2 linked regions of the Oryctolagus cuniculus genome follow. The protein of the gene in region 1 binds, or shares a complex with, the protein of each later gene. Links are inferred from orthologs where the notes say so. Each region holds a gene or a part of one and is shown in the gene's direction. Other genes may lie near its edges.

The links. The genes of interacting proteins can lie anywhere in the genome.
Region 2: the proteins of NRXN1 (region 1) and LRRTM2 are in contact, whole or in part, in a crystal structure (PDB 5Z8Y), measured with the Homo sapiens proteins. The link is inferred for Oryctolagus cuniculus from reciprocal best matches to the Homo sapiens genes NRXN1 and LRRTM2. Residues at the interface, in NP_001317021.1 of Homo sapiens: Leu139, Val158, Thr160, Arg236, Gln237, Leu238, Thr239, Ile240, Asn242; in NP_056379.1 of Homo sapiens: Asp343, His344, Gln346, Gly347, Glu348, Leu351, Asp352, Ala353, Gly356, Phe357.

The regions. Positions count from the first base shown.
Region 1 is NC_091433.1:151,720,431-151,727,566, forward strand, and holds part of NRXN1 (neurexin-1), read left to right. Parts: exon of another isoform or gene 1-5; intron 6-2,684; 5' UTR 2,685-3,532; coding exon 3,533-4,304; intron 4,305-7,136.
Region 2 is NC_091437.1:26,630,355-26,637,974, reverse strand, and holds LRRTM2 (leucine-rich repeat transmembrane neuronal protein 2), read left to right. Parts: upstream 1-2,710; 5' UTR 2,711-2,844; coding exon 2,845-2,848; intron 2,849-3,176; coding exon 3,177-4,723; 3' UTR 4,724-5,279; downstream 5,280-7,620. UniProt on the Homo sapiens protein: Involved in the development and maintenance of excitatory synapses in the vertebrate nervous system. Regulates surface expression of AMPA receptors and instructs the development of functional glutamate release sites.

The DNA.
Region 1 (7,136 bases):
GGCAGGTAAAGCAGCTCAATTTGGGTTGGGGGGGAGGGGTTGGGGCGAGGCAAGCTGAAGAAGGCTATCTTTCCTCGTTGTAACTGAGCCAGGATCTGCCACAAATACACGGAGAAGGATGGGTAGTGGGAGGGTGGGGGAGTGTAGATCTTGGTTGTTTTTGCATGAAGGCTTTTAAATGATGACAAGAAGATGAGATGGTGGAGCTGGGGTAGTAAGTTAAAGGCTGAATGCAGTGATTTATTAGCAAAAGAAAGAAACTGGTAGGATGGAAATTAAAGCAATAAAATAGATCTACATCTCTCTTTCCCTTTCTCATCAGTCCCACACTTAATTTGTGCAGAAGCCAGGCTCCAAGAAACTGCACTGGTATCAGAGATGGAGCTTGGTGACTGGGCGGGAAAGCCAGGGAGAATTTTAGATGTTCGTTGGTACTGAGGCACTTTGCAAAATCCAGGGACAAAAGATACACACTTCTAAAATTTCTCCCAGAGGTTTTCAGGCTCTTTATGAGGAAATATATTGCAGGGTGCATGGACAGGTATGAGTGTATGTGTGTGTGTGTGTGTGTGATACCATAAACATATTACAATAAATGCATCTGCAGCTGATGAGTGTACTATATTGATCCTTCCAATGACTTCGGAATGAATTTGATTCTAGAAATGAAAGAACAGATTAATGAGGCTGTTAGTCTGCTTTTGAATTAGAGCGCTTCTTCCTTTGGCTGCAGTAAGGTTGTTTTTCAAATCCTTTTATTTCAGCCTCTAATTTGTGAACTCACCAGGTCTTTCCGGCACCCAGAGAGAATCCTTTTTCTCCATATAAATACTCTCTCACACACAATGAGCTTGTCTAAGAACTAGGAGAGCCAGTTGACCTCCCTTGTGATATATATATATATATATATATTTCCTTTCCTTTCTCCTCCATCTCTTAAAAATTGTCAAGCTATGCATTAGTAGAGGAAGAGGACAAGAGAGAAGGGTGAAAAGGGTTATATGATTTATGTAAAATTAATAAAATAATAGCCTCTCTCTCTCTCTCACACACACACACAGGAAAAAAGGCTTTCCAACACATGAGCTAGAGGATGGGGTTTAAAGCAATACTCTTCATCATAATGTTCAAGATTGATTTAGGAAATAACTAAAAATTTAACAGTTATCTGAATACAGTTAAAAATGAAAGCCTATTGGACAATATGTTATTTTCAATGATTTTTAAGAGCACCTTTCTTTGGTTTGGCATAGGAGTAGACACGATATGACTGGTGATTGCTGATGGTGTTGAGTGTATGAGCCATAATAAATAACATATTTTTTATTTCTTCTGCTCATTGGCAGTGTTTGTCTGTGTGTGCGTGCTGAAAGGCAGCCTCAGTCATCAATTTCATCTGGGAGGAACTTGAAGTGGGATCCCCGAGCTTGGTGGATCTCAGCTGACACCTGTAGGGATTGCTCTGTACTGAAGAGAAATGCTCTTAGCTCCCTCCATGGAGGAGCAGCAGCACAATGCGGCGTCATAAATTACTGCTAGTTTCAGCTTGTAGAGAAAAAAAAAGTGTTAATTGGATAGTGAGCTTCTGTGTCCAGGCAATACATTTGGAGTGCATATATGTGTGTCTCTATGTTGCATGGGATGGAGACAGTGGGAAATGGTGAAGGAAATACATGCAGTTGCTTAATATGACCAGATGATACAATACTGAGTTTTTTTTTTTTTCTTTATGTGAGTGTAATTGTTCCTGGTAGAAGAGTGACTTTAGTTAAAAAATCTATATTTATGATTTCTGTACCATTTCAAGAACCTGTCAGATTAGAGTTGAATAAAGAGAAGTAATTTACTAGTATAGTGAGTGATTCAATGGCATCGCTTTAAATTCTAGCATCCTAGAGTCATAGCAGCTGAGGTGACATACATGCCAACTGCTGTTCTGACATACAAATTCTAAGGCCTGACATCAAGATAAGGACTTTAAGGGGAGTTAGATCATTTTACTAATGGGTAAAATATTACATAGTTTACCCAGATTTAGAGAAAATAATATTATGGCAATTGAGATGTTAACCCCTGCCCCCTCCCCGCAAAATAAACAAATAAAAAGTAGCTCCAATTAGGAGATTTCTCTTATAAAAGATTATCCCTTTGATAAAGAAGGAAGAATGCACTTATTTGAAATTCTAAGAGACTCTCAGGAAACCATCAATATTCCTGCTCCCTCTCAGAAAAATGAAATGGTAGGAATGCTATACAAATCTAAACTGGCAGCCTCCTGCCGACAGTTTGATCTACTTTGCCTTTTGTAAAACCTGCTATTAACTGAGATTTGAATAGGTTGTATTTTTACTGTCTATGTATCCAGCACACAATACAGGTAGAAATCCTTAAAAGGACCTTTTTTTCTCTCCTTGTACATTTTGAAAATTAAACTTTCTTGGAAAAGGAAAAATAAAAGATCGCCATAATTAAATCTCTATTTAAAACCTGGTTACCTATTAACAGTTACAATAAACTACAAGGTGTAATGGCTGTTTGTGTGACTAGCAAACATTAAGCCTTATTTGTAGGCCAAGAGAAGAAAAAAAGCTCTATACAGTACAGCTTATTCATAGCATACATTCATACTTGCCTTATAATACTGTAATTGATTTAAACTTTATTTTTATTTTAATTTTCCACAGATTTCTGGGTCCTTCTAAAAAGACAATATCAAAATGTATCATCAACACACAACCAACTGATAGCTGGCATCTCAGCTTGGCCTTGCAGAGGCGGAGAACAAAGAAGGGGAGCTGTTGTGATGTGCACATCTAACAGCTTCTGGGTCTGAGTCCTACTGCTGGGGAGGTTTAAGAGCTGTAAAATCCAGCCTGGGAGGCCATGCACAAGACTTCAGTGTCAGCTGCTGTGGTGCTGGAAGTCCATGATATGACAGAAGCTGCAGGCCTTTGGGGTTAACAAGTGGTGTCCTCACGGAGGCAAGGAACCCCTCTCTCCGTTGTTTGAGACATTCCATCTGGAGGAGAAATACCGGAGGCATTCAGAACATCCAAGGATATTCTTGAGATTCCCCGAGAAAAGTGTCTGCTCCCGACTTCCTCTAACGCTTTTCCCTTCTGCTGGTACCAGTGGTGGGGCCTGGCAGATGATGGTGTTTCAGAAGTGAGGTATCTGCAGGGCAGATGACCTTAAACTAGTTCATCAGACTCAGATGGACCAGTGACGTCCCTGGTCTTCTGTTGACGCCTGTAACAGAACGGTGCCTCCAAAGTGTATCCTCCCTTTGGTCTGGAAGTTCTGTGGCTGCCCTGGACCACTGGGGTCACCCCTGTCCAGTTGGAAGGGGGCTGTTGGGAGAGAGGGAGGGGCTGCTGGAAGAAGAAGACAAGACCTAGAGAAAGGAGGGTGCCTCCTCCCGCGCCGCGACTGCTCTTCCTCTGCTGCGGACCCCTATTTCTTCACCACGGTGTCCAGGACCACCTTGACCCTGTCGGCCCCGGCACCCCCCCGCCGCACCCCAGCCCCGAGCATGGGGACGGCGCTTCTCCAGCGCGGGGGCTGCTTCCTGCTGTGCCTCTCGCTGCTGCTGCTGGGCTGCTGGGCTGAGCTGGGCAGCGGCCTGGAGTTTCCGGGCGCCGAGGGCCAGTGGACGCGCTTCCCCAAGTGGAACGCGTGCTGCGAAAGCGAGATGAGCTTCCAGCTCAAGACGCGCAGCGCCCGCGGCCTCGTGCTGTACTTCGACGACGAGGGCTTCTGCGACTTCCTCGAGCTCATCCTGACGCGCGGTGGCCGCCTGCAGCTCAGCTTCTCCATCTTCTGCGCCGAGCCCGCCACGCTCCTGGCCGACACGCCGGTCAACGACGGCGCCTGGCACAGCGTGCGCATACGCCGCCAGTTCCGCAACACCACGCTCTACATCGACCAGGTGGAGGCCAAGTGGGTGGAGGTCAAGTCCAAACGCCGGGACATGACGGTGTTCAGCGGCCTCTTCGTCGGGGGGCTGCCCCCGGAACTGCGTGCGGCCGCGCTCAAGCTCACGCTGGCCTCGGTGAGAGAGCGGGAGCCGTTTAAAGGGTGGATCCGTGACGTCAGGGTCAACTCCTCACAGGCCCTGCCCGTGGACAGCGGCGAGGTGAAGCTGGACGACGAGCCGCCCAGCAGCGGCGGCGGGAGCCCGTGCGAGGCGGGCGAGGAGGGCGAGGGCGGCGTGTGCCTCAACGGAGGCGTGTGCTCCGTGGTGGACGACCAGGCGGTGTGCGACTGCTCGCGGACCGGCTTCCGCGGCAAGGACTGCAGCCAAGGTAAGGCCCGACGCCCGCCGCACGGGGGCCCTCGGCCGGGGCAGGGCGCGGGGCGGCGGGGCGGGCCGGGCCAGGCCAGTGCATGGGGCCTTCCTTCTCCGGACAGCGCGTGGGGGCTGCTGCCCCGGAGGTGCAGGCCTGGTTCTACGGCCCCTTGGACTCACCACTTACCACCGCTCCTTGCTTGGCGCCCTCACGGTAGTGGAGCAGCCTTTTCGACTGGGAGCCCTTTCTTGCAAGCCTGCTTCCCTCCCAGAGGCCAGCAGAATGGCCTCTTGTCATTCCTGGGGTTCTTAGGAGCGATGGGCTCAGTCTTTCTTGGCCCGTTGCCCACCTAAATGGCCAGTAGACTTCCCTCTAGTACCTTTAAATCCGTACCCCCGGAGACTTTGCCCATAAGGGCAGACAGGCGTCTATGAGACTGGGTATGAACTTGGTGGAAAATGAAGTGCAGGCGAGGTTCACCTGGGCCTTAGTTGAGAATTCCCACGTGGTTACTCCTGTTAGAGAGAGAGAGAGAAAAACACGGGTTCACAGGCACTTGCTGTGGCTTTTGCAAACAGGGCTGAGACACTTGCTTTTGGTTGTGAATACAAGGCAGGAGGGGCTGTGAAGATTTCTTCATTAACAAGAGGATGTTTTCTGGACTTAGTGTTGGTTTCCATGGTTATGTCCAACATGTGTCAAATTTAAGTAAAATTTTGTGATTTCTGCGGTTTCTTGAATTCTGAGAGGTCAGCTAATGTTTTCTGAGAGCTTAGTGATGAAATAACAGGCTTCTCAATTACCCAGTGTGTTGGAAGAGAAATAGAATTAGATGTTGCTGAATTGGGAAAGTTCTGCAGGTTAACAAATGGGATGCATGAGAGGGATTGCAGGAGATTTTCTAAGAATATTCAGCTGATGGTATTGATCTGAGTAGTGAAGGCCGAGTTGCAATTTCCGGGTTCTTGGGCTTGAAACAGTGTGGAACTAAACAACAGAAATCATCCCGAAGTTTGCTACATCCCCTGTACAATTAAAGTTCAGGTCTCAGTGTTTTTCTCCCATGTTGTTACAAGACAATGATCAAGGAAAGCATTGTTGAATAAATTTGGGAAAACCTTTAAATAGAGAGTGATGAGAAAAACTTGAAACATGTTTGTATCAGTGGCTAAGCAAGAGAGAAGGTGTCAGGGTTTAAATAAAATAGCAAATGGGTCACATCATGGCAATCTACCTATGGATGAATGGCATTTGTGGCTGAAATGGGGAGGTGTGTGAATTGCTAAAAAGCCACAGGGAGAGAAGCTCAATGTGTGACTGTGCTTTATGGTGTAATGCCTTGAGCCTTGAGTTTCCTTTCTTTTTTTCTTGTCCTTTCTTTCTTTCTTTTTTCTTTTTGTTGTTGTTGTTGTTGTTGACACTGCTAGGGAGAACTAGCCTTTGTAAATCTTATTAGACTTGGCAGTTCTCTCTCACTTGATTCTCACTTGATTTTCAGAGAAATGAAGACTTGATGAAATTTGCAATTGTTTAAGCAGCAAAGGGAGTTAGTTAGGAAAAAACTGATCTTTAGGAGAGCTCAGTAGCCTTCATTGGATCAGAGGGGGGAAAAAGTTAAGAGTTATTTTTTTGCATTTTACTTTCGTGTAGGTTTTTGTTTTCTTTATATTTTAGTTTTAAGTAATTATAGAAGACTGAATATTTGGCCAGCACAGCACTTCAGTTTTACCAGTATGTTCCCATGGATGTAAGACCAGAATTCATATTTACGTTTTACAAAAATAAAACAGAATCCTTTTTTTCCTACCAAATCTAACTTAATTGTAAATCGTGACAAGGATAGCCAGATATGATGATTTCTAGAGCAAAAACTTGCAGTTGCATACATTTAAGATAAATGAATAAAAATCATTTTAGGGGAAAAAATGTCTGAAGTATCCTAATGCCACATTCCAAGACAGAGGAGGCAATTTAAAGAAGGACACACAATATCTAACTCCCTTTCTTAAATTAGGAAACAAATATGACACAGTGGCAGCTTGTACTGTGTGGGAGGGTATTTTAAATGAAAATTTTTATTTTTCTGTGCATTTTTAATGTAGGGATCCAGGGACCATGCATAATCAGGAATAGTTAAGAGAAAGCATCTAAAAAGAAACATATTAAAGAGGAACAGAATTAAATGTATGTGAAACATTTTATTTTGATAAATGAATCTCTTGCTATAAAAGGAGGAATTTGTAATTACAGTGGTACCTAATTGAACAGTGTAATACCTCATATATAAGAAAATTTGACCCAGAAAAGCAAATCCATCAGGATCACTCTGGAGCATTGATTCATTTAGAAAATTTAACTTGAAAACAGAGTGCAAAAATCACTAATCATGGAAGGGAAACAAAAGGGTGGATTCTTCCGATGCTCTGAGAAATGGAAGATGGAGTGGGAAAGGCAGACTCGGTCTTCCCAGAAGGATTGGCTCCATTTTGCTTATTTTCCCTGTTTCATGTGTGTCAAGTGGCTATTGAATAATTAATTGAGAATGAATGCCTCTCCCAGCACCGATCATGTATTGATGGTTAGGGAAAGATGATTTCTGTTCAGATGAAGTATAAACAAAGCCCTGCCTCCTGTCAGTATTTATACTAATTGCTGCATTCTTTATAAAAAATAGTTTCAAAATAAATAATTCCTCAATTCCAAATTTAGCAGAGAGAATTTAGGGGAAAATGTAGACAAGTAAATCTTAAATGTGAGTTCAAATTATCCCTGTTCCTAACAACAATTTCTTTATTAACTTGATAGGAGAAAGTCTAACAATATATTAGTTGCCTTTGTATTTAAGAC
Region 2 (7,620 bases), on another chromosome or scaffold:
GGCAGTGCTGCCCACTTCTGCAGGGGCATCAAAAAATAACTACTCAACTGCATTCGCACTTCTCTGAGCGATTTTCCTCGCCCCTAAGAGAGCTGAGGCAATAACTGAAGTAGCTCCTATTTATTCGTATATACCAGGTAGGCCAAGTAGACTAGAAAGCAGAAAAGAAACAAGAGTCTAAGAGGGACCAGATGCTTGTCCTGAATTTTCTCGTATAATACACTCCTAACTGTAGCTGCTATCATCCAACAGATTCAAATGCTTTCCTCCACCCACTTCTCCTACATGGCAAAGGCTTTCCTCATCAGAGGGCAGCTGACTTCAGTAAGAGCATTTACAACATCTCAAGGTCTTCTTTTCATTAAAAAAGGTTAAAGAAAAATTGAGAGGCTACTTCCATGAGATTGCTCTCTTCGGAACTTTTGGGATCAAGTTCCTGTAGAACAGTGTTTCTGAAACCCAGGGAATCTGAGTAAACCTTATCCACAGAAAAAAAAGAGCAAGCAAAAAAATTTCCCAAGCCAGTCTATGGTATGGACCCAGGTTAAGAACTTCCACCCTATGGCACTATAGAAAGGATCAAAATCAGTGGGGAGCAGCATCCTTGGGGTCTCTCTCCTCCTCTGTTCCTTAACTATAGAGGAGGAACATGACAGGAGTAGTAGCGCAGGCTCACCAGTAAAGCTGCAGGACCCCACGCACAGCAACTCTGGCAGCACTGAGAACTGTAGGCACTCTGAGACCGCCTGCCGAAGCTTCCCTTCTCCCCCTGCACGAGGGCCTGATCTGCTTCACAGTAATAAGGTTCTCAGAGGATTCCTGTTTTGCCTTCTCTTTCCCTCTGTGTTTTCCAGGTATTTCCCCCCAATTAAAGTTCTTGAACTTCTAATCCCATGATGGGGTCCCTTCTAGGAGGACTCAAGCTACACACCTGCAGTGCCACAACTTCCACAGGGCCCTACAGGAGGGACCTCAGGGTCTGCCCGTTCTCATTCCACCTTTCCACTCCAACACAAAAGGTTCACCCCTTAACACCACATTTTTTAAAGTCATCCAGTGGGATGAAGCCTTCGGAAGCCAACAGACAACCGCCGGTCTCAAATCACAGACACCATGGGTAATTTTTGAGGGTTCTGCCTTCAGGTCCAATTCAAGATCTACCAAGGCTAAGTGCCAATGGGATGGGAGAAACAGATGTGTAGGGTCAAAGTAGCAACACGAGATGTGTAAAATGCAACACTGATTCACACAGAAAAACCTCTGGTGTTTACGTAACACTAAACATGGAACTGCACATTCCTAACAGAGGTCTGAAAAGTCATGTCGCTATTGGACACAGAAGCTACAGACAGGTCAAGCGAAACAACAAACCAACACACAAATCCTATTCCAAAGGACTAATAAGACCTTTTCATTTACAAGAGATTCCAACAAAAAGGTGTTAGAGAGCCCAAGGTCAGTTCTTAGGTGGGCCAGCAGGAACCAGTGAGCAAGTGCTCTGTGACTGCAGCCCTCCCCCAGCGCCCTCCTTCCCCAACACCGCCAGCTGAGGCTTTCAGTGATGGAAGAGATGGGAGTCGGAGGTAAACACAAGTGAGACTGTGTCAGAATCCAGCCATGCTGCACCACTTGTCCTGAATCATCTCTGCTCCGCTGATAAATCGCAGAGCGCGTGCATTAAAATGACTATAGCCCCTTTCTCCTAACAGAACATCCAATGATCAACAACCATTATTTTTCAATCAGCATGGTGATAAAACCTTGTCATAGAATAGGACAGATTTAATTAGAATTCCCCTGAAATTCTCAACAGAAAAAAAAATGCTTTTCTTTTGCAAGCTTTCTCTCTCCCCTTTATTCTTGGTTTATGATGTTAAGCTCTTAATGACAAAGAAGCCAAGCCCACTTAGCTAGTTTACCAACACATCTACAGCAAATCACAGTCATACTTTGATTTTAACCAAGCATGACAGCAAGGCAATTGAGCAGCTTTCCAAACTACCAGAACAGCAGCACTATCTTGCACAGGCTGGCGTTAAATCAGCACTTCATAAATTGCACAGGCTTCTGCCCGTTTAGATGATCTCTCTATGCAGAATCGGCGGTCTAACACTGGCTCTCACACGCATTAAAAATCATCACTCTGCTACCCAACTCACTGTTCAGACGGGTCTTCTTGAATGCAGCCTTTATTACAACCTCACTGCTGCTTCCTACACTGAAGGAATACCATGTTTTTAAGTCAGCAGCTCTTCTTTCTCCCTTTTTTGTAATCAGGGGTCTTGCAACGACCCTGATACTGTTACAAAGCACAGTGCTTTATAACAGTAAAGCTTCTGGAAAACCCAAACAAAAGACACGTCACCCGGTGACGTCAGCCTATATACAGTTCTGTGTGGTCGCAGCACATAAGCAAATCCATTCTTGTGCCGTTTCTCGGAAAAGCTTTTCAGTAAATGCACTCATGCTGCTCCAGGAGCTCTTCTCTGCAACAAGCCGCCCATCTGCCATCAACAAGTTAAGACGGGAGAACTAACGGCTGCGGAAAGGGGAGACCGAAGCTTTGATTAACCAACTGAGCAGTCACAGGAGGAAGAAATTAATAACTTACATTCAAAACTGATTTAGGGGATCAGAGCGGTCAGAGAAAACGAAACCAATGCTTTCCAGAGGAATATCCTAAGGAAGAAAACAACTCACCGATGGATCAATTTTACTAAGAAAGCCTGGGACACAGAAAACAGGACACTGGTCAAAGGCTCCTGCATGGTAGAGCCTTTTACAGACTCACTGCGTTGAGTCTAACAACCTCGACTGAATGCAGCCTCCAATGTGCTCAGAAGAATGGGTAAGTCTGTGCATTTCTATGTCCTGTACAGTCAACAAGGAATCACATTTTAAAATAAGCCATTGCATTCACATTTTATAAAGGAAATCACTGTCACATTTTGAGATTTTGCAATCTAGATAAAAGCATATATTGCTGTCTTATTCTAAAATGGTTTAAGTTTTGTTCCAGTCATACAAACAAGGATCATTTTTCTGCAGTAAATGAAAAATGAGTTATACGCAGTGAAATCTTTCACCATAATGTTGTGTTGTTGTTGTTTTAATAGTCCATACGTTCTGCTGAAAGATATCCTCTCTTCTTGTTTTTCTTGAACTATATTCTGCAGGCTTATATTTCAAGTGGCCATTAGGGGCCCCTATGCTGGCAGCAATATATGCAATGAGTATGATTTTAAAAATGCTGCCTGCCCTGGGTATGGCGTGTCCACCCAAATGCCGCTGCGAGAAGCTGCTCTTCTACTGCGACTCTCAGGGCTTCCACTCAGTGCCAAACGCCACAGACAAGGGCTCCCTGGGCCTGTCCCTGAGGCACAATCACATCACAGAGCTCGAAAGAGATCAATTTGCCAGCTTCAGTCAACTTACCTGGCTCCACTTAGACCACAATCAAATTTCAACAGTAAAAGAAGATGCTTTTCAAGGACTATATAAACTTAAAGAATTAATCTTAAGTTCCAACAAAATATTTTACTTGCCAAACACAACTTTTACCCAACTGATTAACCTGCAAAATTTGGACCTGTCTTTTAATCAGCTGTCATCTCTGCACCCAGAGCTCTTCTATGGCCTTCGGAAGTTGCAGACTTTGCATTTACGTTCCAACTCCCTGCGGACTATCCCAGTACGCCTGTTCTGGGACTGTCGTAGTCTCGAGTTTCTGGATTTGAGCACAAACCGTTTGCGAAGTTTGGCCCGCAATGGATTTGCAGGATTAATCAAACTGCGAGAGCTTCACCTGGAGCACAACCAGCTGACCAAGATTAATTTTGCTCATTTCCTGCGGCTAAGCAGTCTGCACACGCTCTTCTTACAGTGGAACAAAATCAGCAACTTGACGTGTGGGATGGAGTGGACCTGGGGCACTTTAGAAAAGCTGGACCTGACTGGAAATGAAATCAAAGCCATTGACTTGACAGTGTTTGAAACAATGCCTAATCTTAAAATACTCCTCATGGATAACAACAAGTTAAACAGCCTTGATTCCAAGATCTTAAACTCCCTCAAGTCCCTCACCACCGTTGGCCTCTCTGGCAATCTGTGGGAATGCAGCCCCCGAATATGCGCTCTGGCCTCCTGGCTGGGCAGTTTCCAAGGTCGGTGGGAACATTCCATCCTATGCCACAGCCCTGACCACACCCAAGGAGAGGATATCTTAGATGCAGTCCATGGGTTTCAGCTCTGCTGGAATTTATCAACCACTGTCACTGCCATGGCTACAACTTACAGAGATCCAACCACTGAATATACAAGAAGAATAAGCTCCTCAAGTTACCATGTGGGAGACAAAGAAATCCCAACTACTGCAGGCATAGCAGTTACTACCGAGGAACACTTTCCTGAACCAGACAATGCCATCTTCACTCAGCGGGTAATTACAGGAACAATGGCTTTATTGTTTTCTTTCTTTTTTATTATTTTTATAGTGTTCATCTCCAGGAAGTGCTGCCCTCCCACTTTAAGAAGAATTAGGCAGTGCTCAATGATTCAGAACCACAGGCAGCTCCGATCCCAAACACGACTCCATATGTCAAACATGTCAGACCAAGGACCGTATAATGAGTATGAACCCACCCATGAAGGACCCTTCATCATCATTAATGGTTACGGACAGTGCAAGTGTCAGCAGCTGCCATACAAAGAATGTGAAGTCTAACACCTACCCGGCACCAGAACGCCCAGCAGATAAGTCACCTCTGTTGCATAGTAGGGGCTGCATACATGCCTAATTTTTACCAATGATGACATTAAGCCTAATTTTCCAACCAAGTGGAGACTTAGTTTTTGAAGTGTTGAAGTATTTTTAATTTTTTAAATGAAATCATATTTTAAGTGTTAAATGAAGCAATGCTCACGTTAATTTGCACAACTGTTGGAAAGTCTAAAAATGCTTACTTCAAAATAAGACATTTCATGTATGTAATTATATACTGTTGTGTGTAAACATTTACACTAAGGTCTCCATGTGCTATTTTTTTCTACTGAAAACAGTTTGGAAAGAAACTATTGAGCAGAAACAGATACAGATCAATACCTGTTTGATCACTGCTCTCCATCCCACGCTCCACAACTGGCTTGCTGCTTCAAAGGAGACAGCAAAGTTCTCTTGTATGTTAAATTTGGTATTTACTCAAATCTACAATCTACTGCCAGTGTGGGAAGTAGAATTTCATGTATGCTAAGACTGATAAACATTAAACACTCTTCTTCAAGAGTTTTTGCCTGGGTTAGTAGCTATTATCAAAGTCTATATCATGCTTATCAGCACCCTTTATGTAATTCTAATAAGCAGAGTGTCTCTTTAATATATTTAAACAATCCAAGTGACTGTAAAAAAGTCTCATTACAGTGAAATGAATACTAAATAATTACACCGACTTTTTATCATACATCCCCACTCCGACTTGTAATGGACATGTTGATTTTTGTGCCATTTAGACAATTGTTTTAAAGTATTTAATTACCATTTTACTAATTAACTTACTAAATCCTGTATTTACATTTAGATGTGGAAGGAAAGATTCAGAAGTTATTTTGGACAGAAAAAAAGATAAACTGAGTCATTTTAAGAACCCTGACATGCTCTCTTGTTTTAAAGTACACACACACACACACACACACACACACTTTCTCTCGTCTCTCAACTGTCACGATCAAAGACGCCTTGACAAAGAGGTTTAAACCTCTTCCTTCTGCTGTTTCCTGATCTTCAAACCTCAAAAAGCCAAATTAAAAATAATTGGCTAGCAACAGGCATAACAATGAATTCTTAGACTATAAAGAGACCATTTTTAAAAATCATTTTATAAATATATGCCAAATTTTGGCCTTTTAACAAAGACACACATTCACATTTTCAGTGTGGTTCCTTCTAAATGAAGGGAACATATTACCGGGTGAATCTTACAGGAGAACACTCAACATGCCTATGCAGCCACACAGCGGCAACTCAAAGGCAGCACAGAGATGAGAAGCTGAAGAGGAAAGGAGATTTTGAAATTCGACAGCCGGGTTAGCCAAAGTCAGCATGCAGCCAAGAGTGATTACACACACACACACACACACACACACAATCCGTACCACACGCAAGGCCCCAGGTCCCACCACTGACAAGGGAAGAGGGAGGAGGTTCCCCAGCATAAATATAAACACTCCAGGATTAACAAATGATAATGATTCTACATTTTTCATACAGAAAAGAACCATGAGTATTCCATTTCTTTCAATTATGATTTCTATGGGAAAACTGAAATATCTGGCATTTAGTTGTAAGTTACCAATTCACATAGAATTTTTCCATAAACAAGGTCTCTTGTATGTGAAAAACTAAAAATTGGAGCACTAATTTGATTTCAGAAAAATAAGCATTTTGCAACTGTCACTTACTGTATGTGAAAAAGGCATGCATCTTTAGAGGAAATCACCACCATTAACATTTTTTTAAATCTTTTCCTTATCATCAACATTAATGAGGTTTTTTTCATTCAAGGAATACTTTCCTCTCAGGATTGAACTGAAAACACGTTAAGATTAGAGTTTAACCCATAAGATTTAACCGTAATTTTTCTTCTTCAATTCTGAGAAGGGTACCTACATTTCAAAGAAAACGTGCCTCAGTAAAAAGCAGACAACATCACGAATTATGGCAAAAATATACTCTAGGCTTTTTCAGGGTGGGTAGATGAGTTTGGCAAAATCTCAGTTCAGTTTAATTCAGAGGATCCTCACCACCAAGCATTTTGTTTCTTCTTAAGCCAGGGCCTGAGTTTGCCTGGGTACAGACAGAAACTGATTTTATGGCATGGTATGCAGTGTGTGAGCTCCCCACAGAGGGGCTGGATCAGAAGCCCCTACTACAAAGGAGAGCTCCACGAACTGAAATTGACCAACCCATTTATCAGGGTGACCACAGCCATTTGTCAGGTGACAGACAGCTTAGTCACAATAAAACTCTATCCTGAGCACTCAAGATTCTATTAACACTGAAGGATAAGTGGAAGAGGTTTTTCCATCATTTCAAACCACAACCAAAATTAATTCAAACTAAGTCAAAAGGTAAGGGAATATTGGCTGGGAATCCCCACATTAATCTCAAAGGTACAGTTAGTAAAATGGCCGTCAGCTGGCAAAATTCTTATTGTGTGTGGAAAAGCAAACCATTTCGTAATTCAGAGGAACAGCACAGCCAACGCCACCATGGCATACATTCCAGTTGAATAATAACTGGTTTTTTACCCGCCATTTTTCCTGTAATGCCCTCTGAGAAGTGAATGACAGTGCCAAACCAGTAGTTCCCTTTCTCACTTAAAGCACAAACTTCCTTTTCTAAGAGTCTGTAGAAGGAAGGATTCCACTTAATTCTTGCCTATTTGTGCTCTGGCCTCAGTCATCTGTGTTCTCTGCCACCTGGCTAGGGTGGAGCAGCATCGCAGCAACACTGCAGATCCTGGGAACACAGCATGGTCACTTTTGACCTGGGGCGGGGCTGAGGGGGTGGGGGAGGGGAATCCCCTGCACCAGCACCACCACCCCCTCCTTTTCACTTTCAAGGTT